Linked DNA regions of Schizosaccharomyces pombe. Changing the gene in region 1 together with any one later gene gives a genetic interaction. Each region holds a gene or a part of one and is shown in the gene's direction. Other genes may lie near its edges.

Region 1 (8,363 bases):
TTTGAAATTAACTACAGACCTGGATCAGCAAATCACATAGCTGATGCCTTATCCAGAATTGTTGACGAAACAGAACCAATTCCAAAAGATTCAGAAGACAATAGTATCAACTTTGTTAATCAAATCTCGATAACCGATGATTTTAAAAACCAAGTGGTTACAGAATATACGAATGATACAAAATTGTTGAATTTACTAAACAATGAAGACAAACGAGTGGAAGAGAATATCCAACTCAAAGATGGCTTACTAATTAACAGTAAAGACCAAATCTTATTACCTAATGATACTCAGCTGACTAGGACAATTATTAAAAAGTATCATGAAGAAGGTAAATTGATTCATCCAGGCATTGAACTTCTTACAAACATTATATTACGTAGATTTACGTGGAAAGGAATAAGAAAACAAATACAAGAATATGTACAGAACTGCCATACATGTCAAATAAACAAATCTAGGAATCATAAACCTTATGGACCTTTACAACCAATTCCCCCATCAGAAAGACCTTGGGAATCTTTATCAATGGATTTTATTACAGCTTTACCAGAATCATCTGGTTATAATGCACTTTTCGTGGTAGTTGACCGATTTTCAAAAATGGCAATCTTAGTACCTTGTACGAAATCCATTACAGCAGAGCAAACAGCTCGAATGTTTGATCAACGAGTTATTGCTTATTTCGGCAATCCAAAAGAAATCATTGCAGATAATGATCATATTTTTACTTCCCAAACGTGGAAAGATTTCGCACATAAATATAATTTCGTTATGAAATTTTCGTTACCATACAGACCACAAACTGATGGACAAACTGAGCGTACAAACCAAACTGTGGAGAAATTACTAAGATGTGTATGTAGCACACATCCAAATACATGGGTAGATCATATATCCCTAGTGCAACAATCTTACAACAATGCGATACATTCAGCAACTCAAATGACACCTTTTGAGATAGTACATCGCTATTCACCAGCTTTATCACCTTTAGAGTTACCTAGCTTTAGTGACAAAACTGACGAAAACTCTCAGGAAACGATCCAAGTATTTCAAACAGTTAAAGAACACTTGAATACAAACAACATAAAGATGAAAAAGTATTTCGATATGAAAATACAAGAAATTGAAGAATTTCAACCTGGAGACCTAGTTATGGTCAAAAGAACGAAAACAGGTTTTCTTCATAAATCCAATAAATTAGCACCTAGTTTTGCAGGACCGTTCTATGTGTTACAGAAGTCGGGTCCAAACAACTATGAATTGGATCTTCCAGATTCAATCAAGCACATGTTTTCATCTACTTTTCATGTTTCTCACCTAGAAAAGTATCGACATAATTCAGAACTCAATTACGCTACCATTGATGAGTCTGATATTGGAACAATTCTTCATATCCTAGAACATAAAAACAGAGAACAAGTACTCTACTTAAATGTCAAGTACATTTCGAATCTAAATCCGAGTACTATTATGTCAGGATGGACTACATTAGCTACAGCGCTACAAGCGGACAAAGCAATTGTCAATGATTATATTAAAAACAATAATCTAAATATCTGAGAACATATGACTTATCCTCAGATTTACATAGAAAATCTTGGGGAGGGCAATGTCAGCAATACTACACTACGCTATAATACACTACGTTGAGTATCACTATATGTCACATGTTCTAATTATATATCGTACCATGTATGATACGATATGGAGATTGATCTTAATGATAATCTATTAAGATCAATATTATCTGAATACTATAAATAGAGCTACTGCTGAACCTCGTTCCTCAGTTCAGTTATGAGCTATATTAGTGATAGGTAACATTATAACCCAGTTAATACAATACCTATACTCAGTTGCTACTTATACAACCTGTGTATTGTAATATAATAGATCACAAGGAAAACTCACCGCAGTTCTACGTATCCTTAAATCAGATACCAAACTGCGTAGCTTACACTTAAGAGACTAGATTTTAACTATTGTATAGCGAGTACGTTAGTAATTTCCAATTTACTCCAATGTGCGTTAAAAAATTTAGGTAGGACTGCGGAGACTACGCTAGATCTAGATTAAAATACCTAAATATTAAATCTTCAACTTATACTACACTCGTAGTCTTTAGTATCTAAAATTTACCAATTTGGGCTTTTTTGAAGCATTTGGTTTGGAGAAGATTTATTCGATTGAGTATTTTCTCCTTTACACCAAAAAATGGGTGTTCCAGCACTTTTCCGCCTTTTGTCGAGGAAATTCGCAAAGGTCATTACACCTGTTATTGAGGCTCCTACTGAAAAGCTTCCAGATGGTACTGAAATTGAACCAGATTTAAGTCTTCCCAATCCAAACGGAGTGGAATGCGACAACTTGTATTTGGATATGAATGGTATTGTTCATCCTTGTTCCCATCCTGAAGATCGCCCCGCTCCAGAGACTGAAGACGAGATGATGGTTGCTGTCTTTGAATACACGGATCGTATTCTTGCCATGGTTCGTCCTCGTCAGTTATTGTTCATTGCAATCGATGGCGTGGCTCCTAGAGCCAAAATGAATCAGCAGAGATCACGTCGTTTTCGTTCTTCTCGTGAAGCAGCTCTCAAAGAAGAAGAATTACAAGCCTTCATTGAGGAGGCAAAACAACAGGGAATTCCCATCGACGAAAACGCTACGAAGAAAAAATCTTGGGACAGTAATTGCATTACCCCCGGCACACCTTTCATGGACACTTTGGCCAAGTCTCTTCGTTACTACATAATAAATAAACTAAATAGTGATCCGTGCTGGAGAAATGTCAGATTTATACTTTCTGACGCCTCGGTTCCTGGTGAAGGTGAGCATAAGATCATGGAATTTATTCGATCTCAACGAGTGAAACCAGAGTATGATCCAAATACACACCACGTTGTTTACGGTTTAGATGCAGACCTAATTATGCTTGGTTTGGCTACTCATGAACCCCATTTTCGTGTATTGCGTGAAGATGTCTTCTTTCAACAAGGAAGTACTAAAAAGACAAAGGAAGAGCGTCTTGGCATCAAGAGACTTGATGATGTTTCTGAGACCAATAAGGTTCCTGTAAAAAAACCATTTATATGGCTCAACGTTAGCATTTTGAGGGAGTATCTAGAAGTGGAACTTTATGTCCCCAATTTACCTTTTCCATTTGACTTAGAACGTGCGATTGACGACTGGGTCTTCTTTATCTTTTTTGTGGGTAATGATTTTCTTCCTCATTTGCCTAGTTTAGATATTCGTGATGGTGCCGTAGAGCGGTTGACTGAAATATGGCGAGCTAGTCTTCCGCACATGGGTGGTTATCTTACTTTGGATGGTTCTGTTAATTTAGCTCGTGCTGAAGTCATTCTGAGTGCTGTAGGTAACCAGGAAGATGATATTTTTAAGCGTCTTAAACAGCAAGAAGATCGTCGTAACGAAAACTATAGACGCCGTCAACAACGCGAGTCAAATCAGGAATCAGAATCTTATGTTGACAACGTCGTAATTCAGCGTTCAGTTGAGACGCAATCGACAGAAGTTGTTACCTCTTCTAAATCAACTTCTGTTGATACTAAACCGCCAAAGAAAACTCAAAAAATTGACGCTCCGGCTCCAGTGGATTTGGTTAATTTGTCTGAAAAAACTTCAAATCGATCTCTAGGCGCTACTAATAGAGAATTAATTAATAATCGCGCTGCTAACCGTCTTGGACTTTCTAGGGAAGCAGCTGCTGTTTCTTCAGTTAACAAATTGGCGGCCTCTGCATTGAAAGCTCAGTTGGTTTCAAATGAGACACTACAAAATGTTCCTTTGGAAGACAGCATAGCTTCATCCAGTGCATATGAAGATACCGATAGTATTGAATCTAGTACCCCTGTTGTACATCCAATAGACACAAAAGTTTCAAATGTGGGTCAGAAGAGAAAGGCCCCAGATTCGACTGAAGAAAATGAAAATACTGATACAGTCCGCCTGTATGAGCCTGGATACCGCGAACGGTATTATGAACAAAAATTCCACATTTCACCCGATGAACCAGAAAAAATTCGTGAAGCTGTTAAACATTATGTTCATGGATTGTGCTGGGTTCTTTTGTATTATTATCAAGGCTGTCCATCTTGGACCTGGTATTATCCATATCATTATGCTCCTTTTGCCGCTGATTTCAAAGATTTGGCCTCCATAGATGTAAAATTTGAACTAAATCAACCCTTCAAGCCTTACGAACAATTACTAGGCGTTTTACCTGCTGCTAGTAAAAATAATTTACCTGAAAAATTGCAAACTCTTATGACTGATGAAAACTCTGAAATTATTGACTTTTACCCGGAAAATTTTACTATTGATTTAAACGGGAAAAAATTTGAATGGCAGGGAGTTGCTCTTTTACCATTTATAGATGAAAATCGGCTTTTGAATGCTGTATCAAAAATCTATCCTCAACTTACCGAGGAAGAGTCAAAAAGAAATGAGGATGGTTCTACTTTATTATTTATTTCTGAACATCATCCAATGTTTAGCGAACTTGTCAAACAACTTTACTCCAAGAAACGTCAAGGTAAACCACTTAAGTTATCCGGAAAGATGGCACATGGATTGTTTGGCAAAGTTAACACCAATGATTCCGTAATTCCCAATGTATCCGTTCAATGCCCAATTGATGTTACATCCGCTGACGCCCTTCAGAAGTATGGAAGCATAGATGATAATCAATCTATAAGTCTTGTGTTTGAAGTACCTAAATCGCATTTCGTACATAAATCCATGCTTTTAAGGGGAGTGAAAATGCCGAACAGGGTGTTAACCCCAGAAGATATCAACCAAGTACGTGCAGAGAGGAGCTTTTCTTCCCGCCGAAACAATGGTAATTCGTATCGTGGAGGACACCAAAGTTATGGTGTCCGACGCTCTTACCAATCGCAAAGTTACAGTAGTCGACAGAGCTACACTGGAGTTACTAATGGTTTTGCAAACGGTGGAGTTCAACCTCCTTGGTCTGGTAATGGCAATTTTCCTCGTTCTAATGCAAGCTATAACTCTCGCGGCGGCCACGAAGGATACGGCGGGCGCTCGAGAGGTGGTGGTTATTCGAATGGACCGCCAGCTGGTAACCACTATAGTAGTAATCGCGGAAAGGGTTACGGCTATCAGCGAGAATCCTATAACAATAATAACAGGAATGGCTACTATTAATACATTTAAGTTTTCTTAGTACAATTTTGAAAGCGGGTTTGGGATATTGGAGATAAATAATATATCTGATTATTTGAATTTCATTGGCACATTGCATAATTAGTTATGCAATTCAGTTACAAAATGCATGTTGATAACATAAAATTATACTCAACAACTATACCGATCTATTCCTCTTTCTTAAGAGCAGGTAATACTTCTGAATAAACATCAAAGCGGCGTTGAGTATAGATAGGAACGCTGTTTCGAGCGGTAGACATGACAGAGGGATCAATATCTGCGTAAACGATAGACGGTTTTTCATCAGTAGTAGCAATAACTTTTCCGAAAGGGTCTACAACAGTAGAATGTCCCCATGAATGATAGTCAGCGTTCATATCTCTAGCAGGGGCACAGCAAGCAACGAACATCTCATTATCAACTGCTCGGGCTCGTGCAAGTAGTTCCCAATGTAAAGGGCCTGTGGACAAATTAAATGCTCCAGGGTAAATCATCACACTACAGCCATTTCTAGCTGCTATCATAGCGAGTTCCGGAAATCGTATATCGTAACAAATACCCAAACCAAACTTCCCGTATTCAGTGTCAACCATAGTCATGGCGTCGCCAGGTGAAAGACTATCAGATTCGCGGAAGCTAACTCCACCAGGAATGTCAATATCGAATAAATGAATTTTCCGATGAACGGCTATCAATTTTCCAGAAGGATCAAACACCATTGCAGTGTTGTATAATTTGCCATCCTTGCGTTCAGGAATAGAACCGCCAAATAAGTAAGTCTTAGTATCCTACAGTACCGTTAGTCTCACATAATCAACGAAAATTAAATTAACAAACCTTTGCCATAGAGGATAAAGCTTGGTAAGAAGGAGATGATTCCTCTATAGGTTCAGCATACTGATTAAAGTAACCAGTACCATATGGTGAATTGAAAATTTCTGGTAATACAATGACATTAGAACCGTTTTTAGCGGCTTCCAATACTTTTAAACGAGCGAGTTGTAAATTTTCGCTCTTGTCTTTGGTATTGGCAAGCTGAACCAAGCCAATACGAAAAGCACGAAAATCTTTAGGAACCAGAGATGAAGCTGAGACAGACATGATGTTCCTTGTATAGCAAAAATTTAATGAAGGAAAAAAGGATCTTGTGCCTTTTTGAACGAGTCCAAAAAATTTACTGTTCATATAAACAATCACCGACTTGAAATTTTAGGTGAAGGAAGAGGAATGAGTAGAAAGCAAAGATACGAGGGAAGATGTCCTGATTTGTAGGCTAGTCTCAGAATATCTAGCTTGCGATAATTTTGAGCTCCAAAATATTATATTCCTGAAATCTCAATGTAACTTATTAAGCACGTGGCTAGCGAAATCCTCCAATCCAAATTACACCTTGTTATCAAAAAGAAATTTAGCAAGGTGATCAAACTTCCATGTCTTTGATAAGAAGAATGTCGACATCAAACTAGTTTTCAATCTATTGTAAATCTAAAGAAGAAAAAGGGATTTACATTCAAGCAGCAACTACACAAATAGAAATCGTTGTTTGAATGTTACGGAAGGCAAGACCAAAAAAATTGTTTTTGTTTATCTACAAGTTACAAAAGAATGATATTTATTACTGTGTCAACTAGTTTATAGGTAATGATAATATCGTCTGTCATTTTTAGAAAAAGGGGATTCAATTACTATAGATATTCAGTTGTTCCGAATGTGTTGAAAAATAAAATCTTAAGCGTCTTCGTTTCGCAAAAGAAGAAAATAAATGTTATAATAGCTCGAATGAACTGTTTGGCATACATGTTAATTTCACGTATATTGAATATTGATCTTGTTCAATAACAAATGAACTTATGGCATGCATAAGATCCATCAATCGAGAAGAGCCTAAAAATCGCATTTGAATGCGTATTTAAAGAAAGAATAGCTGTATCCTTAGTCAAAAAATTTTGTATTGAAAGAAAAAAGATTAAGAGTATAATGAAAATAAAGAGGAAAAGAAAGTTCGAAAACCAAAAGATGACCAAGAAAATAATGAGTAAATTACGTTGTTTAGCAAACAACCAAAATAAATTGCAATAATAAATTATAGAATTAACACATGATCCGAATAAGAGTAAAGCTGTGGAGATTAATAAGCTCTCCATTCAAATTCGTTGCGCTTCAAATCATGGAATTCACGGAAATCCGAAATGAAATGACACCTGAATAGATATTGAAATAGATGGTAAAAAGAAAGAATGAATTCGATTGGAAAAATGAACATAAAAGATGATTTGATGCAAAAAGTAAAAATGCTTCTCCCTACTCTTTCAAATACTTTGTAAATTGTTTTTGCGAAAGATATGATTGCATATCTGGACTTACATGCTCCGACAACTGTTCGGAGTCAGGAAGCAATAACCCATTCATGAATAAAAGTTCCAAGAGATGTAACTTACTAGTATCACGAGTAACCGCTTTTAAAAACACCACTCCATTCTCTTCAAAATTTGGTTTGGCGGCTAAACCTAGTAATATTTTGGAGATTTTATTTTGCTCCAAACCCTCCAATAAAGTAGCATCAGCATCTACTCCTGCAAAGTCAATGAATGCGTGTTCCACATACTTCTTCTGGGCAAATGCCAACTTCACCTGCGCATTATGCTCCGGCTTTGGCTTCAGCGAAGGATTAGAAAGTCCTTTTTCATAAACACGGTTGACAGCAGCATTACCAATTTTGCACAAAAGGACTTTCGATTGCTGCGATAACGAGTCGAGTAGCAAAGAACGTGTTTTCGATATATGAGTACCTAAAGACCTATGTATACCACTGCATTCAATACAAAGAACTACCGGTATATTGATCGAGCACCAAGTAACATCTTTAACCGAACCGCAATCTGCACACACACTGTTAGAGACATCGGTCTTTCGGAGCATTTGAATGAAAATGTTTGCACTGGCATGGTATCTCTCTAACTGTTCCATATGCATAGTACCCGAATTGTCTGATCGAAAAAATTGTTGAAGGTTCCACGAGCCTTTTCTACTGAAAGCCTTCTTAATACCCGAACCGCTTAATTTTCGGCTGATAGGCGTGGTCTCAAAACTCGTAGAAAATAGTGGAAATACCTTAGAGGGTCGTCTCACACTTGCACTCAACGGCGTTGCAACCCTAGAAAGTTGGA
Region 2 (5,062 bases), 1.2 Mb from region 1:
ACGGTATTTACTGCTGGGGCGATACGTGGCAAGATACCAAAATGAATACTGAAGCGGTAGAATTTTTATTCCAAGCTTATTTACGGAGAAGAAGGCTTCAAAAACCAGAATAGAAATTTTGTGACAGCTTGAAAGACATTGCGTTCTAAGGTAAAAGTTACTATATAACAAATAAATAAGCTTAAACTCACATAAGTTCCTACTAAAGTTTCGGATTATGATATTTTTTTCTTTAAGGTATTTAATCAGTAATTTCATGTACTTTGAAATAATGCATTCGACGTTTTCTTCATCCGCTTCCGTTTAAATTTCTCTTCATATTTTAAGTATTTGGTGACAGAGGAAGGCGAGCATTGTTGCAAAAGTCTACCCCGTCTATAGATGCTGAGCGTTAATAAAGAATGTGGTACTTTTGCGAACTTAGTCAATTTGTCACCCATATAGGTAGGCTTTGAAAATACATTGCGTCTGGCGTTATAAATACAACTTCTATAATCCGATTTAAATCGCTTAATTTTTGCGTCTTCAGTAGGCACCCGTAGGTTGCTTTCCATATCTTCAAAAACATCATCCACTATGAAAGGAAGATACCGTTTAGAACGAGAATGCGCTTGGTTCGCTAGTGTATTTACAGGTGACAATGATGAGGAATTATTGTTATATGAGTTTAATATCAATGTTGCGTCCGCATTGTTCTGTAAAGCTTGAAATTTAAAAATAGGTTGTATGTTGCTAGGGATTAAACGAGGAACGTCCTTTTTAAGTGCTATTTTTTTACCGGATTCAATTACCTTTTGAACCCTTCTGTAGGAAACTTGAGATCGCTCCCATTTAGAATCTTCACAATCTTCGGTAAGAAGCACAAAAACTTTTCCACTTTTCTTACGACCAGTTCTACCCATTCTTTGAATCGTGCGTATCGGTGAAGATGAAGCATCATAGCAAATAATCATATCGGTATCACCAATGTCTAAACCCTCTTCGCCGATTGATGTAGCAACTAGCGTGTTTATAACACCTGCACGAAATTGATCGATAGTTTCTTTTTGTTGCATCTGATTCATGCCAGTTGAGTAAGCCGAGTTCGCCTGCCCAATAAATAAAGAAGCTCGAACCATAGGTCGAATTGCCAACAATGTCGTTGTGATATATTCAGCAGTGTTTCGAAATTCTGTGAAAATCATAACTCGTTGATTTTGATAGCCTTCAGAAGTATCTTTGAAATGTTCTTTCAAAAGTTCAAGAAGATGATTCATTTTAGGATGGTTTAATGACAAACCTTGAATTTTATTGTGAAGGTGTTCTAAATAAAAAGCAAACGGTTTACTAGTAAACAACCAAAAGCTTTGTCCACTCCCTTTTCCTTCAGCTTTATTTTTAGTTTCCACAAGCTTTTGATAAAATTGGATAATCCCATGACAATCTAACAGATACGTTATATGAGCACATGAAATCAATAGCGTAAAGCAACTCATGATTTTTGATTTTTCTTTAGATTGTACATTTTTTGAACTAAAGGAATACTTTCGTAAAGAAACGAAAAGCGTATAAGCTTTTATATTAAGGCATTCACAATTGATAGGTATAAGTTTTTTTTGACGGAGAAAATTAAAATATGGCCGGTATAGGTTAGCAAAGTCCGATTTTAAAATATTCATTTCAGAGGAGATCGTGACCTTAATCAACTGAATCTTTTTATGAAAAACATATGAGCGAATATCTATACTTTCTTCGTTGCGAACAATGAGTTTGGAGATATGGAGGCAATCTACTACCTTTTGAACAGAGGCGGTAGAAGATCCTGGAGTTGCGGTTAAACCAAGGACTCGAAAATGACTATTAGATCTAAGCACTGCCCTCATAACCTGAGCATACGAATGGTTGCCAGTAGCTCTATGAGCTTCATCAAATATCAGGCAAATAATACTTTTGGCATCCAGTAAATGTTCCTTTAAATCATTCTGGAGTGTTTGTGGAGTCATGAAAAATACTCGTTTCGTATTGTATTCGAAAAGTCGACGATCCGGTGATACTTCACCGTTCAATTCAGCGGTAGCACCTGGTGACATTCCCGCTACATTGGAACAAGCAACTCTTTGTTGCAACAGTAATGGTTTTGTGGGGGCAAGAAATATTATTTTGCTTTCAGGAAACCAACGAAAATAGTTTAACATGACCACTGCCGCAATAAATGTCTTTCCCAACCCAGTAGGTAGAGCCAGTAATAAATTGTGGAATAATGCTTGCTCACAAAATTCCTTTTGATAATTTCTATACTGCTGAGTCTGTGGAAAAATCCAGTTTTGCATTGCATCAATATTTTTTGGAATGTCAATATTGTTTTCTAACTCAGTTATAACTTGAGGTTGAGAAGAAGGAACCCTACAGCCTCGCAAGTCTAGTTGAAACGTAGTATTTTCAACGTCTTGATTATGTTTTATACATTTCAAATTTGGTTGCCTTAAAGCAGGATTAGAATTCAACAAAGATCCTTCAACATTACAAAGCACTGAGGTAGGAACATTTCCTCGTTCTCCGTTCACCTCGATACTTGGCAGGTCTACTTCAGAGTCGGAATAGTCACTTGAGTCTCTCAGTACAATCATGAAACTAAATTTATGAAAACGAACGAACACATAGACCAAAGTAAGTTTCAAAAATAAACTGAATATCAAACTTTTAAATTCTTGAACATCAAGTTTCTTCAATTTGATCAAACAACATTATAATCTTTGCTTTTCATAAACAAAGCTGATAAAACAATTAACAATTGAGTAAGATCAAGTCAGCGGAGGAGCATGAAAATTTAACGTTGTAAAATAAACACGAGTACTAATGCGATAAACAGAAAACAGTTTGCAAACTTGAAAAAAAAACTGTCAAACTCAAGAATTCAACTAACAAAATCACGTTACGGGGTGTTGATATTCACATCAGCAACTATGGTGGTGAAGAAAAATCACAACGGTATTAGTAGACATGTGAGATGTAAAGCGCGTTATCCAAAATAAATCCTCTACCACCATAAGATTATTAATTTTGCAATCTGCTAACCAACAGCAGTGTTTACAGTATTCGAACTTAATTTGAATCATGGACTCTGCTGATATCCGATCTGCGAAAGCAGCTTTGGAAAAAGCTATTCAGGGAAAGAATATAGAGGTTTGTAATTTGTGCTATTGGGACTTACAGATGGTTTTGAAGCTAATATCAAGCTAGACTATAATTAACATTATGACACGTTTAAAAAATGAAGTAGTTGCTACCGAAGAATTACTTAAGGTAGGTTTATTACATGCAATATGGTAGTATTCTCGCACGGATTGTTGACAATATATTACATGAATTTTGCAAATTTCACTTAATAGAAATAACATCTTTCTTAAAATACGAATTCCACAAGAGTACCAACATTTGATGGAGAATCGGTATTCAAAATACTAACCAATGATGCTAGGAAACCCGGCTGGGATTAGTCGTTGGCAAGCTCAGATCTCATCCCAATGAGAAAGTTGGTGAGCAAGCTCGGGAAATTGTAAAAAAATGGAAAGCCGATGTTAGTAAAGGTCGTCCATTGAAAACCACAACTACAACTTCCTCCACGCCTTCTAAACATGCGGATGTAGGTTCTCAAGCTCAAAAACAAGTTCAAAAACAAAGCAGCAGTGGTCAGCGTACTTTTAAATCTGATAATGTGAACGTCAATGTGACTGATGACAAGATTCGCAACAACTGTATTGGATTAATGTACAATGCATTAGTCATAGATTCGGATGAATCTTCTTCATTAATAATAGCCAAAGCCAAAGAAATTGATGCGCAAGTACTTGCTAGAGCAGCAGGTAAAACTGGTTCTGAATATCGAAACAGAATGCGGTCCTTGTATATGAATCTTAAAGATAAAAATAACCCGAAACTTAGAGCATCAGTATTACGAAATGAAATTACTCCGCAAAGACTCAGTACCATGACTTCTGCCGAATTGGCTTCAGAAGACCGTCGCAAGGAAGATGCCAAGCTAGAACAAGAAAATTTATTCCATGCGCAAGGTGCTAAACCCCAAAAAGCTGTTACAGACCTTTTTACTTGTGGGAAGTGTAAGCAAAAAAAAGTTTCTTATTACCAAATGCAAACAAGGTATGTTATTTGTCATGATTTTAGTACTTTTTATCGCGTAAAATTTATTAACAATCCGTATAGATCTGCTGATGAGCCTATGACAACGGTAAGCATTAGTCTATTTGGGTAGAATATTTGGACTAATTTTTTTTTAGTTTTGTGAATGTACTGTTTGCGGAAATCGCTGGAAATTTTCTTAAATCTTGGGTCAGCCCATTTAGATACCGGTTGTAAAATAATCCTTCATATTTCTTCTTCTTTTTATTGTTTTAGAAGCACTCTCCTCTATTGTGTGTGTTTTTTTTTGTTTTAGGATCTGATTGGTATCTTTCATTCTAGCGATGAATATATGCATATTTTACTTTTGCACACTCAATACGACACTTTTACAGTTATCCTACTTTACACTTCTTAATAAATCCAAATGGTGTTTTAAACGTACATTTAATAAGTTAACGCTTGATCAAAGCGAATAGATCATAAAATTCGACATTATTAATCCTCAATTAAACTGTAGTCATAATTAACAAGTGCAACGAAAAGTGGAACGATTAATTGTATTGGACAAAAATTTTAACAAAAATGAACGGGTTTACCATCGATACGAGTGTAATAAGCCGTATGCAAAATTGCAAATAATTCCGACAAGAATGGATAATTGCATTCTCAGAGAGAACATTGTCCTTTCCCAAAGAAAATAACAAGCAATAGCTCCTCCAAAAAAGCCTATTAATACTCCAGCCAACAAGGTTTCATATGACATGTCAAGTTCGTCGGCAGAAGAGTTTTGTCCTCCATTGTCAATCCAATCGTCTTCTGCCTCTCTGATAGCGTCTTCCGTGAGTGAATCCAAATTAGTTCCTCGTAAGCGATGAAATTGGCTACGCAAATTATTGACCTCGGTTTCTGTAAAACCAGCTTCACGTAAACGATCAAAACCACG
Region 3 (5,985 bases), on another chromosome or scaffold:
TCTCGTCGTCTTCCAGATTCTGCCATCGACTTGGTCGATGAAGCTGCGGCTGCAGTTCGTGTTACTCGTGAATCTCAGCCCGAAGTTCTTGATAACCTTGAGAGAAAGCTTCGACAACTCCGCGTTGAAATTCGTGCTTTAGAGCGTGAGAAGGACGAAGCTTCCAAAGAACGTCTCAAGGCTGCTCGTAAAGAGGCTGAACAAGTGGAAGAAGAAACAAGACCTATTCGTGAGAAGTATGAATTAGAAAAGTCTCGTGGAAGTGAACTTCAAGATGCTAAGCGTCGTCTTGATGAGTTGAAGGCTAAGGCTGAGGATGCCGAGCGTCGTAATGATTTCACTCTTGCTGCTGATTTGAAATACTATGGTATTCCTGATTTGCAAAAACGTATTGAATATTTAGAGCAACAAAAAAGAAAGGCTGATGCAGAAGCGATTGCAAACGCTCAACCAGGCTCAGAACCTTTACTTATTGACGTAGTTGGGCCCGATCAAATCAACGAAATCGTTGCAAGGTGGACTGGTATTCCGGTTACTCGTTTGAAGACAACTGAAAAGGAACGACTCCTTAACATGGAGAAGGTTCTCAGTAAACAAGTAATTGGTCAAAATGAAGCAGTTACTGCAGTTGCAAACGCCATTCGCTTATCTCGTGCTGGTCTTTCTGATCCTAATCAACCAATCGCATCTTTCTTGTTTTGCGGTCCTTCCGGTACTGGTAAGACTTTATTGACAAAGGCATTGGCATCATTTATGTTTGATGATGAAAATGCAATGATTCGTATTGACATGTCTGAATACATGGAAAAACACTCTGTTTCACGTCTCATTGGAGCACCACCCGGTTATGTTGGACATGAAGCTGGTGGACAGCTTACTGAACAACTTCGTCGACGACCTTACTCCGTCATCTTGTTTGACGAGATTGAAAAGGCTGCTCCAGAAGTATTGACTGTACTTTTGCAGGTACTAGATGATGGACGTATCACTAGTGGCCAAGGCCAGGTTGTTGATGCCAAGAATGCTGTTATCATTATGACTTCTAACTTGGGCGCTGAATACTTGACAACAGACAATGAGTCTGATGATGGAAAGATAGATAGTACCACTCGGGAAATGGTTATGAACTCGATTCGTGGCTTCTTCCGTCCCGAATTTTTGAATCGTATCTCTTCAATCGTTATCTTTAATCGTCTGCGTCGTGTGGATATCCGCAATATTGTCGAAAATCGTATATTAGAGGTTCAGAAACGGCTTCAATCCAATCATCGCTCAATTAAAATCGAGGTTAGCGACGAAGCTAAAGACCTTCTTGGAAGCGCTGGTTATTCCCCTGCTTATGGTGCAAGACCTTTGAACCGTGTCATTCAAAATCAAGTTTTGAATCCCATGGCTGTCTTAATTTTGAATGGCCAGCTTCGCGATAAGGAGACTGCTCATGTCGTAGTCCAAAATGGCAAGATATTTGTCAAACCAAATCATGAAGCTAATGCAAACGGCTCTGCTGATATTGACATGGATGGTATTGACGACGATGTTAATGATGAAGAATTGGAATAAATGTATTTCAAATGAGAAAGTTCTAACGATACTTTATGATATAGTTTAATGATATGCTTAATCTTAATATATTTTATTTATTTATAAAAATATAGTATATAAACTTTTTAGGAAGTACTGTTTTCTCATTAAAATGTTCAATGAACTTTATCGAATAGATAGAATCAATTTAACAAAAGCTAAGTACATCGTTTTTAGTTATTAGCAATTCAAGTATGATGAAACATTGAATCTTAAATTTATCAAATAATCCATTGTTATTTACGAAAAACCTCCATTTATTTTAGTAGGTATTAATTAATGCAGTCCATTCAAGAAAGTCGAGCTTGTAAGAAAGTGCTCGTAATTCCTTATAAAATCAAAGCAGAATTAGCTCTCATACTTTTAGTAGATTTTAAATTGAATTTACATGATTAACTTTAACATTTGGTAAATCACTATCATATCATTTCATTACTTTCTACACTTGCGCATTGCATACTAATACGCATTCCAGTTCTCATGGTTCAAAGCAACGTTTAAATTAACAAGTTGTATAGTTAAACTTATACAGTGCTTTGCTTCTAATAGCCATTATTACCAGGAAATAACGAGATCACAGTTGCCCGCATACCATTAAGCTAACGAAACTTTACTGCACTAAACAAGAGACTAGCTTTTCGTAATTGTAATAAGACTTATCGAAAAGTTGAACCAGAGATCTTCAGTTCAGTAGATCATTGCCTTTCTCAAACGAAGCTTTAATTTATACTTCCTTAAAAATAATTGATTAGTCATATTTTCATGTTATACAAACTCTGTCATGGCTTCCAATCCGCTAGATAATAATATGCCGACGACTCCCGTTGAGGAAAAAATTCCAGTCGCTAGTTATTCTCCTAGCTCTTCTGGTAGTAGTTCCGGTGCTAGTTTACTAGTAGATATTATGTGCGGCAGTAAAGAAACTGAGGATGAAGAGGTTGATTCTGATGAATGGGATAAACCAGGTATGAATATCAACTATTAACTCCAATACCTTCAAGGGTACGCGCAAGTCTATTTGAATTTACAAAATTTACAATTGATCAACGATTTTGAGTTCAGGTTAGCTATGTGCTTTTCATATACTTTAGTTTATTTTAATTATTTAAAAAGTTAACGATTCCTTAGAAACAGAAAACATAAGTGATTTGGATGAACGATCCGAAATGGTCAGATATTTAAGGGCTTCAGGTAAGGAGTTACTTAATTTACATTTTAACTAGTATTTGTAGGCTATGCGAAATTCTTGGAGAAATATTTAATAGAAGAAGAGTTGCCTGTACGATCGATTTTAAAAAAACTTGGAATCAATTTGGTATGCTTACTGATTTATAACTTGCATTACATTAAATTAGCAGATTATTTTTGTTAAATTGCAATAATAATTTGGTCTACTGCATGTTTTGTTTTCTTATGACTTTACCTAGATTTATTAACGTAAATAGCCTAGTGCACTTGAAGAGTTTGAAGACATAGAGTATGCTTTTCTTTAACTTCCTTCTTATCTTTTTATCTTTTATTTTTTAAAATATCTGCTATCGATATACTAACGTGCTAATTAGTTTACTTCCTTTGCTGAAGGAAGTTTTAAAACGTGAGGTTGCTAGGAGAATCAAACTTCCACATTTTAATACCTTTGAAGATGTTGTTAATTTATTGAAAAAAGCTAAAAATGTTGTCGTCCTTGTTGGGGCAGGCATAAGTACAAGTTTGGGAATTTTAGATTTCCGTTCAGACAATGGTTTTTATGCCCGTTTGGCACGCCATGGATTATCGGAACCTTCTGAAATGTTTGATATCCATACGTTTAGAGAAAATCCAGAAATTTTTTATACTTTTGCTAGAGATCTTTTGCCGGAGACGAATCATTATTCCCCCTCGCATGCCTTCATTAGATTGCTTGAAAAGAAGAATAAATTATCAACATTGTTTACCCAAAATATAGACAATTTGGAAAAAAAGACTGGACTCTCCGATAACAAAATTATTCAATGTCATGGTAAGTATTTATTTTCCGATTTGCATCTCGAGCACTGGTGATTTTGTCTAATTTGATTATATAGGGTCTTTTGCTACCGCAACTTGTATCAAATGCAAGCACAAGGTGGATGGATCGGAGTTATATGAAGACATAAGAAATCAAAGAGTTTCTTACTGCAATGAATGCGGAAAACCACCCTTAAAATTAAGAAGAGTCGGTCAAAATAAAAAAGAGAAACATTATTTTTCAGATGGTGATAGTGAATCTTCTGAAGATGATCTAGCTCAACCTGGGATTATGAAACCTGATATCACATTTTTTGGGGAAGCCTTACCGGATTCTTTCTTTAACAAAGTCGGGAGTGGTGAGCTTGAAGAGACTGATTTATTAATTTGTATTGGAACTTCTTTAAAAGTGGCTCCTGTTTCAGAACTCATCAGTGTTATTCCTCCTACTACTCCTCAGATTTACATTTCGAGGACTCCTGTTCGTCATACCCAATTCGATGTAAATTTTCTAAGTCCTTATTGTGATTGGGTTATTGTGGAGATTTGTAAACGTGCTGGATGGCTGAATGAATTACAAGCGCTTTGCGATTTACCTGAGTGTCATAGTGGTTCCAAAACGCGAGCTTTCGAAACGGATTTGGATATAAAATTTGAGGAGCCCAGCACCTATCATATCACGAGCACAACAAACGGTAGTTGTTAATTTTAGGACTGATCGATCTATCGAAGTTGAATGTAGAAGCAAATATATTATATACATATATCGAGTATGAGAGCCAGATTATTGGACATTAACTTATTATCCGTTTGAGACTTCTTAGTTTTGTAAGTGCCATTGTTAAAAACTGTTTTTTCTCTTCGCACCTAATGTTTAAATCTGCTAAACTGGGTGAAAACACATTAAAACAAGTTATAATACATTTTACAATACCAAGGACTGTGTAATTAGTAAATGAACATTGAAGCAAATTACATTCATAGGCTATGCAAAATTAGCTACTTTTTTAAGCATAGTAAATCAGTGAAAATGACACAATTATTATTTAAAATTGAAAGATTGATTGGTACATATCAATACAACCAATGAAGCATCTAATTGTACGATACTAAAGAGAAACAACTGAAAACGGACAATTAGAAATTGGTCAACGATATTGACACTCAAACTCAAAAGAAGAAAACAGATTTAATGAAGAATATAAAATGCACGGATCATCGAAAAAGCCACCAAATCAAGCCCATTTACCTAACAAAGCCATAACTCCAGTACCAGCCATCGAGCATGCCAAAAGGTAAATAAGCTTATACCAGTTACGTTCTCTTTCAGGACTAAATAAGAAATCGTGTGCAAGTAATTCCACTAAACCAGCATAAACCAAAATTCCAGATGAGATAGCATCCAAAACACCTTGGGCAGCATAAGACCCATGAGCAAGAGGATCCCAATGCTCACGAACACCTAAACCAGCTGCCATACCAATAGGCGTAACCAACGAATAGATAACGCCCAACACCCAAGGTACCCATGCAGTTTTTGGGCCCCAGGCCATTCCCGCCAAACGAGAACCTAAACCACAACCTTCAAAGGCCTGATGGAAAATAATGACGGGAAATAAAGTTTTAAATTCTTCACCTGAGACGGCAGTTGTAAGACCGATAATAACACTATGCAAAATGATACTAGATTCAAGAATTATAAAGGCAGTAAGTTGTTGCTTTAGTAAGAAACTACGAGCTTCTTCTTTAGTAGTCAAATCGGTACTATCAGTATTCGTATAAGGTTCTAGTTTTACTTCTTCCAAGTCATCCTTTACACATTCATGCTCAACACCATCGGCACATTCTTCAATATCATAAACTGGATGTTCATGAACACCGTGAGCACCGTCTTCGTGACTATGACTGTGTTGTTTGGCACCAAGAGTTGGACCATGATGATCGCCGATTTCCATACCGAACCGCCATTCCACATAGCGATTCAAAAGGACCTCCAACAAGAGAATAAACCAACAAGAAATAAGACAAATACCTGGAGCCCAATCGTAACCTCCGAAAAGGTCGTCAAGACAAGGATCGTAAAGCTTGTTACAAGCAGGGGCTAACAAGTGAATAAAAGCAGTAGCCAAAATAACACCAGAACCAAAATAACGAGCGAATAGATAGAGATATTCAATATAAACGTTGGGTCTGTTTTTGGTGATTTTAGAAAGGACCAAAGGTAAGTTCATGCCAATTAATGAAGTAGCCAAGATAACAAAGATGGCACCAATACGATATCCCAGATGACCATATTCGTTGAATTCATTGGCATCACCTCCACAAGTCACAGTAGCAGAGCTATCATCGTCTCTTTTTACCAATGGACTATATTGCTTATTAAGAAAAAGATGTCTCAATATTTGGTGAGATTCTTGA
Region 4 (4,784 bases), 460 kb from region 1:
TGTTTGGCATGTCGGCAGTAAAACTGAGCGTAGCAGATACAAATTAATGCTCGATTGTGTTATGATTATTACTTCTGTTGTCCCTTCTGAACTCCCTATGGAGCTTTCTATGGCTGTCAATGCCTCATTAGGTGCTCTTTCTAAATATTATATTTATTGTACTGAGCCATTTCGTATACCACTCTCCGGTCATTTGGATATCTGTTGCTTTGATAAGACGGGTACCTTAACTGAAGAGCATATGGTTGTTCAAGGTATTGCTGGAGTTAATAGAAAGGATCCTTATAGTCTTGAAAAATTAAGCGATGCTTCTAACGATGCGATACTGGCAATTGCTACGGCACATACCTTAGTTTTGCTGGAACAAGAAGGTGAAACTCCCAAAGTCGTTGGTGACCCCATGGAAAAGGCTACGGTTGAAAACTTGGGTTGGTCTATTGAGAAAAAGAATTTTGTTTCAGCACCTGAAGGTTCTGTTTTTTATAAAGGTAAAGTTCAAATCATTCGAAACTTCCAATTTTCTTCAGCTTTAAAAAGACAGTCTTCTGTTTCCAACGTAAGAGTGTCTGGAGGAAGTTTTAAAACTTTTGTTTCGGTAAAAGGAGCCCCTGAAGTGATTGCTACTATGTTGCGGGAGGTCCCTAAGGATTATGAAAAAATTTATAAAGATTATGGTCGTAAAGGGTCTCGAGTACTCGCCCTAGGTTATAAATATTTTAAAAATTATATCCCTGAGAATCAAGTTTCTGATTTGAGCCGTGAATCTATTGAGTCTGACCTTGTATTTGCGGGATTCCTTATTTTTACTTCTCCTCTTAAAGAGGATGCTAGGCAAACTGTGCAAATGCTAAACAATTCTTCGCATCGTTGCATGATGATAACTGGTGACAATCCTCTGACCGCCGTATATGTAGCTGAACAAGTTGGTATTGTTGAAAAGCCAACCCTCGTATTGGATATTAAGCATGAGAATGAAAAGATTTTAGAGTGGAAGAGCACAGATGATACAATCAATTTACCCATGAATCCTCATAAATCGTTGGAAGCTTCGTTGTACGAAAAGTATGATCTTTGTATTACCGGTCGTGCTTTGTCTCAAATTATCAATCCGGACGTTATTATGTCAATTTTTACTCACGCTTGGGTTTATGCGCGTGTTTCTCCTTCTCAAAAAGAATTCATGATCTCAACTTTGAAACACAATGGATATATAACTCTTATGTGTGGTGATGGTACCAATGATGTGGGTGCTCTTAAACAAGCACACGTTGGTGTAGCTTTATTAAATGCTTCGGAAGAAGATATGCTTGAAATGCAAGAGAGAGCTCGTAATCAGAAGTTGATGGGCGTTTATGAAAAGCAAATTCAACTTGCTAAAAGATTTAATCTTCCAACTCCTCCTGTTCCACCTGCACTTTGCCATGCTTTCCCTCCTGGTCCTAACAACCCTCATCGTGAAAAGACTCAAGAAGGCTTAAATAAGGTCCTGGAAGATTTGGAAACTAAGAAAGCTAGTGATGTTCAATTAACGGAAGCTGAGAAAGCTGCTGAAAGACGGGCAAATCTGGCTAACAAGATGTTTGACACTTTAGCAAACGCTTCTGATGATGAGGCACCGAAACTTAAGCTAGGAGACGCTTCTGTTGCTGCACCATTTACTTCTAAATTAGCTGTAGTTTCTTCGATAACCAACATTGTGCGTCAAGGTCGTTGTACTTTAGTTGCCCTCGTTCAAATGCATAAGATTTTGGCTCTCAACTGTTTGATCACTGCTTACTCGTTGTCAGTACTTCATCTGGATGGAATTAAATTTGGTGATACTCAATACACTATTTCGGGAATGTTAATGTCTGTTTGTTTTTACTGTGTTTCACGGGCTCGTCCACTTGAAACTCTTTCAAAAGAAAGGCCTCAAGCTGGAATTTTTAACACTTACATAATTGGTTCTGTTTTAGGTCAGTTTGCTATTCATATCGTTACCCTTATCTATATAACTCGTGTCGTTTATCTGTATGAGGATCCTTTAGAAAAGGTGGATTTAGAAGAAACCTTCAAGCCTTCTTTGTTGAATACTGCCATTTATTTGCTTCAACTTATTCAACAAGTCTCAACGTTTGCTATCAATTATCAGGGCCGTCCTTTCCGTGAAGCTTTAAGTGAAAATAAAGGAATGTACTATGGCCTTTTGGGCATTGCCTTTGTCGCTATTGCTGGTGTAACTGAGTTTTCGCCTGAACTCAACGCAAAACTTCAGTTAGTTAAAATGGCTTATAATTTCCAGATACAACTGTTAGCCACAATGGTTGTAGATTACGCGGCTTGTTGGATTATTGAAGAGCTTATGAAAAAATACTTCCGTGACAACAAGCCGAAGGAAATTGTTCTTCGTAATTAAGAACAATTATATAAGTGGGTTACACCTACTTATCTGTACAAGCTTAGATAAATATTCATTTGAACAAACTGATGAGTAATTGCATTACTCACTGATGGGCAAGGATGTCAATTTTCTTCGGTCAGTATACAATATTTATCACCATTTTCAATTTGATTACTTGTTATGAATATTTTACATAGACTCAATGATTGATTCATTCTTGGCATATTTGATTTATTAATTTGGAATAGTGTAAGTGAGCTTTTTATAGGACGTAATAGATGCTTATTAGAGATAAAATAATATTCACTTGTTAAAATCCTTCTCAGTAGCAAGGTGAAAGGCATATAAAATTTGGGATATTTCTATAAGCGCTATCCCATGATACTGGGACTTCGTAAATCCTCGAACGCTCAGCATATATCAAGCAATTGCGAAAACCGCTGAAAAATTGGGATAATTTAATTTAATAAAAAGAGCTAAGCTCATTTAAAGTTTTTTTTTTTAATGTTCATCATTTTTGCCCTATTTTGAACCAAAATTTTACAGTTTTAATACGCATCGACCGATCGAGTTGAATTGGGGCTTTTCTGCATTAACTTATCGATACAATGCCTTTCTTCCTCAAAGAGCTTTCGTTAACGATTTCTCTGCATCCCAGTTACTTCGGTCCTAGAATGCAGGACTATTTAAAGGCAAAATTGTTGGCGGACGTGGAAGGCACATGCTCAGGTCAATATGGCTATATAATTTGCGTTTTGGACAGTAATACTATAGATATTGATAAAGGGAGGGTAGTTCCTGGGCAAGGGTTTGCCGAATTTGAGGTAAAGTATCGTGCAGTGTTATGGAGACCATTTCGTGGGGAAGTGGTCGATGCAATTGTTACAACAGTAAATAAAATGGGATTCTTCGCAAATATAGGACCATTAAATGTCTTTGTCTCATCTCATTTGGTGCCTCCAGATATGAAGTTTGACCCTACTGCAAACCCTCCTAATTATTCTGGTGAGGATCAAGTTATTGAAAAGGGGTCGAATGTCAGACTTAAGATTGTCGGTACAAGGACTGATGCAACCGAAATTGTAAGTTTCCCAATAGTTCACAATATTTATTTTGCTTAATTAATCGTGTTACTAACATAATATCTAGTTTGCCATTGCAACAATGAAAGAGGATTATCTAGGCGTTCTTTAAAAAGATAAAATTTTAATTTGTCTTTTATTTCTCATGTTCATTAATTCAATGCTAACCATCGCGTATACTGTTATTATTAAGTTCCTTTCTAGGTCTCAAAGTTTATTCATGTAGTTGTAAAAGCGCATACCAACGTTTATCGATCTAAATTTTGGCTCTATTCTGTGGTAATGTTATGGCTAAAAGCTGCGCAATATCTTTAAAAAAAAATTTTAACTTTATATACCCTTTACACAACAATAGAATTTCCCTAATTATTGTATATAATCGCAATATCAATCGACGATTTCCTTATGAATACAATCTTGGGCTAGCATTTTATCTATTAGGAGTGCATAAGTCTTTATCGTTCTTCGGTAAATAGAAAACCATGAAAATATTCAAATACCTTATAATCAAAGTATGCATTTAACATAATGATAATATATTACTCAAATAAGTCAGAATGCGAAAACCGAATTGTAATAAAGAACTAATAAATAACAGAATGGAAAGTCACTTTGCCTTCTCGTGATGAATTCCTTTAAAACCACGGCTTATTCCTTTTCGCATTTTGTTCGTAAGGTTAGCCACCGAGGCAACCCCATCAACAGCAACATTACCTACAGTACTAATGCCTTTAAGAGGCATACCAACAATCGAAGCAGTCTGTCCAAGAATTCCTTCGACAAGAGAAGAATTTCCGGCGCGTTTGGAACGAAGGACCCATTTTGGGCTCAGAGTTATACGAAGATAAAGAACTCCTTGTTTGCTATCCAAAGGAATTTCATAGTTAGTCTGTTGTTGCTGTTGAAGAAGCTTGCAGTCGATTACACAAGAGCCCAAATGATCGTCCTTGTTACCAAAATCCCAATCAAAAACATTAGCAACAAAATTACAGGTTTGCTTGCAAGGAAGTTCGACCTCGAAACTTTCATTAAAAGTAGGATTTAACGTCCGCTTGTGCGTTTTAGTCCGGTACACTTCTTCTCCTTGCAACTCGAAAACAACGAAAGGATCAGACTTTCCATTGGAATCTGCGGCAGGGAGATCCGTGGCTTTTATGACATCGACGGTCATTTCTCCCATATTTTCGTACATTTCAACTTCCTCAAGTTTCACAGGAACAGGAGTTAGCCTAAAAGCGACCAAAATCGAAGCACCATCAGGAAATGCAATTTCCAGAGGTTTAGTAGCGCCTTTACTAATTAAATCGCGACTCAGCATAGTT

The links.
Region 2: of dhp1 (region 1) and tfs1, changing one suppresses a phenotype caused by changing the other (phenotypic suppression), as found in Schizosaccharomyces pombe (one study listed by BioGRID).
Region 3: of dhp1 (region 1) and sir2, changing one enhances a phenotype caused by changing the other (phenotypic enhancement), as found in Schizosaccharomyces pombe (one study listed by BioGRID).
Region 4: mutations in dhp1 (region 1) and rpb7 are lethal when combined (synthetic lethality), as found in Schizosaccharomyces pombe (one study listed by BioGRID).

Annotation. Positions count from the first base shown.
Region 1 is NC_003424.3:3,354,750-3,363,112, reverse strand, and holds dhp1 (5'-3' exoribonuclease Dhp1), read left to right. Parts: upstream 1-2,109; 5' UTR 2,110-2,220; coding exon 2,221-5,196; 3' UTR 5,197-5,363; coding exon of another isoform or gene 5,364-5,984; 3' UTR 5,985-6,033; coding exon of another isoform or gene 6,034-6,381; 3' UTR 6,382-6,969; downstream 6,970-8,363. Other genes in the region: Tf2-4 (retrotransposable element/transposon Tf2-type), read left to right, coding at 1-1,566; SPOM_SPAC26A3.11 (mitochondrial omega-amidase), read right to left, coding at 5,364-5,984, 6,034-6,381; cnt6 (centaurin ADOP ribosylation factor GTPase-activating protein), read right to left, coding at 7,498-8,363. UniProt on the Schizosaccharomyces pombe protein: Possesses 5'->3' exoribonuclease activity. Required for the processing of nuclear mRNA and rRNA precursors. May promote the termination of transcription by RNA polymerase II. Essential for vegetative cell growth and chromosome segregation.
Region 2 is NC_003424.3:2,114,413-2,119,474, reverse strand, and holds tfs1 (general transcription elongation factor TFIIS), read left to right. Parts: upstream 1-3,018; 5' UTR 3,019-3,093; coding exon 3,094-3,162; intron 3,163-3,219; coding exon 3,220-3,282; intron 3,283-3,457; coding exon 3,458-4,137; intron 4,138-4,200; coding exon 4,201-4,225; intron 4,226-4,274; coding exon 4,275-4,319; 3' UTR 4,320-4,562; downstream 4,563-5,062. Other genes in the region: mde1 (5'-methylthioribulose-1-phosphate dehydratase), read left to right, coding at 1-113; ATP-dependent 3'-5'-directionality DNA helicase fml2, read right to left, coding at 255-2,606; protein dsc3, read right to left, coding at 4,712-5,062. UniProt on the Schizosaccharomyces pombe protein: Necessary for efficient RNA polymerase II transcription elongation past template-encoded arresting sites.
Region 3 is NC_003423.3:3,607,934-3,613,918, reverse strand, and holds sir2 (histone deacetylase, Sirtuin family, NAD-dependent Sir2), read left to right. Parts: upstream 1-2,232; 5' UTR 2,233-2,362; coding exon 2,363-2,546; exon of another isoform or gene 2,547-2,709; coding exon 2,710-2,772; exon of another isoform or gene 2,773-2,809; intron 2,810-2,813; coding exon 2,814-2,896; intron 2,897-3,026; coding exon 3,027-3,058; exon of another isoform or gene 3,059-3,143; coding exon 3,144-3,580; exon of another isoform or gene 3,581-3,644; coding exon 3,645-4,273; 3' UTR 4,274-4,702; downstream 4,703-5,985. Other genes in the region: heat shock protein Hsp104, read left to right, coding at 1-1,560; plasma membrane ZIP zinc transmembrane transporter Zrt1, read right to left, coding at 4,803-5,985. UniProt on the Schizosaccharomyces pombe protein: Involved in silencing within the mating-type region, at the telomeres, and according to PubMed:12867036 also within centromeric DNA regions.
Region 4 is NC_003424.3:2,899,300-2,904,083, forward strand, and holds rpb7 (DNA-directed RNA polymerase complex II subunit Rpb7), read left to right. Parts: upstream 1-2,784; 5' UTR 2,785-2,988; coding exon 2,989-3,462; exon of another isoform or gene 3,463-3,529; coding exon 3,530-3,574; 3' UTR 3,575-3,834; downstream 3,835-4,784. Other genes in the region: P-type calcium transport ATPase Cta4, read left to right, coding at 1-2,395; tcb3 (tricalbin), read right to left, coding at 4,070-4,784.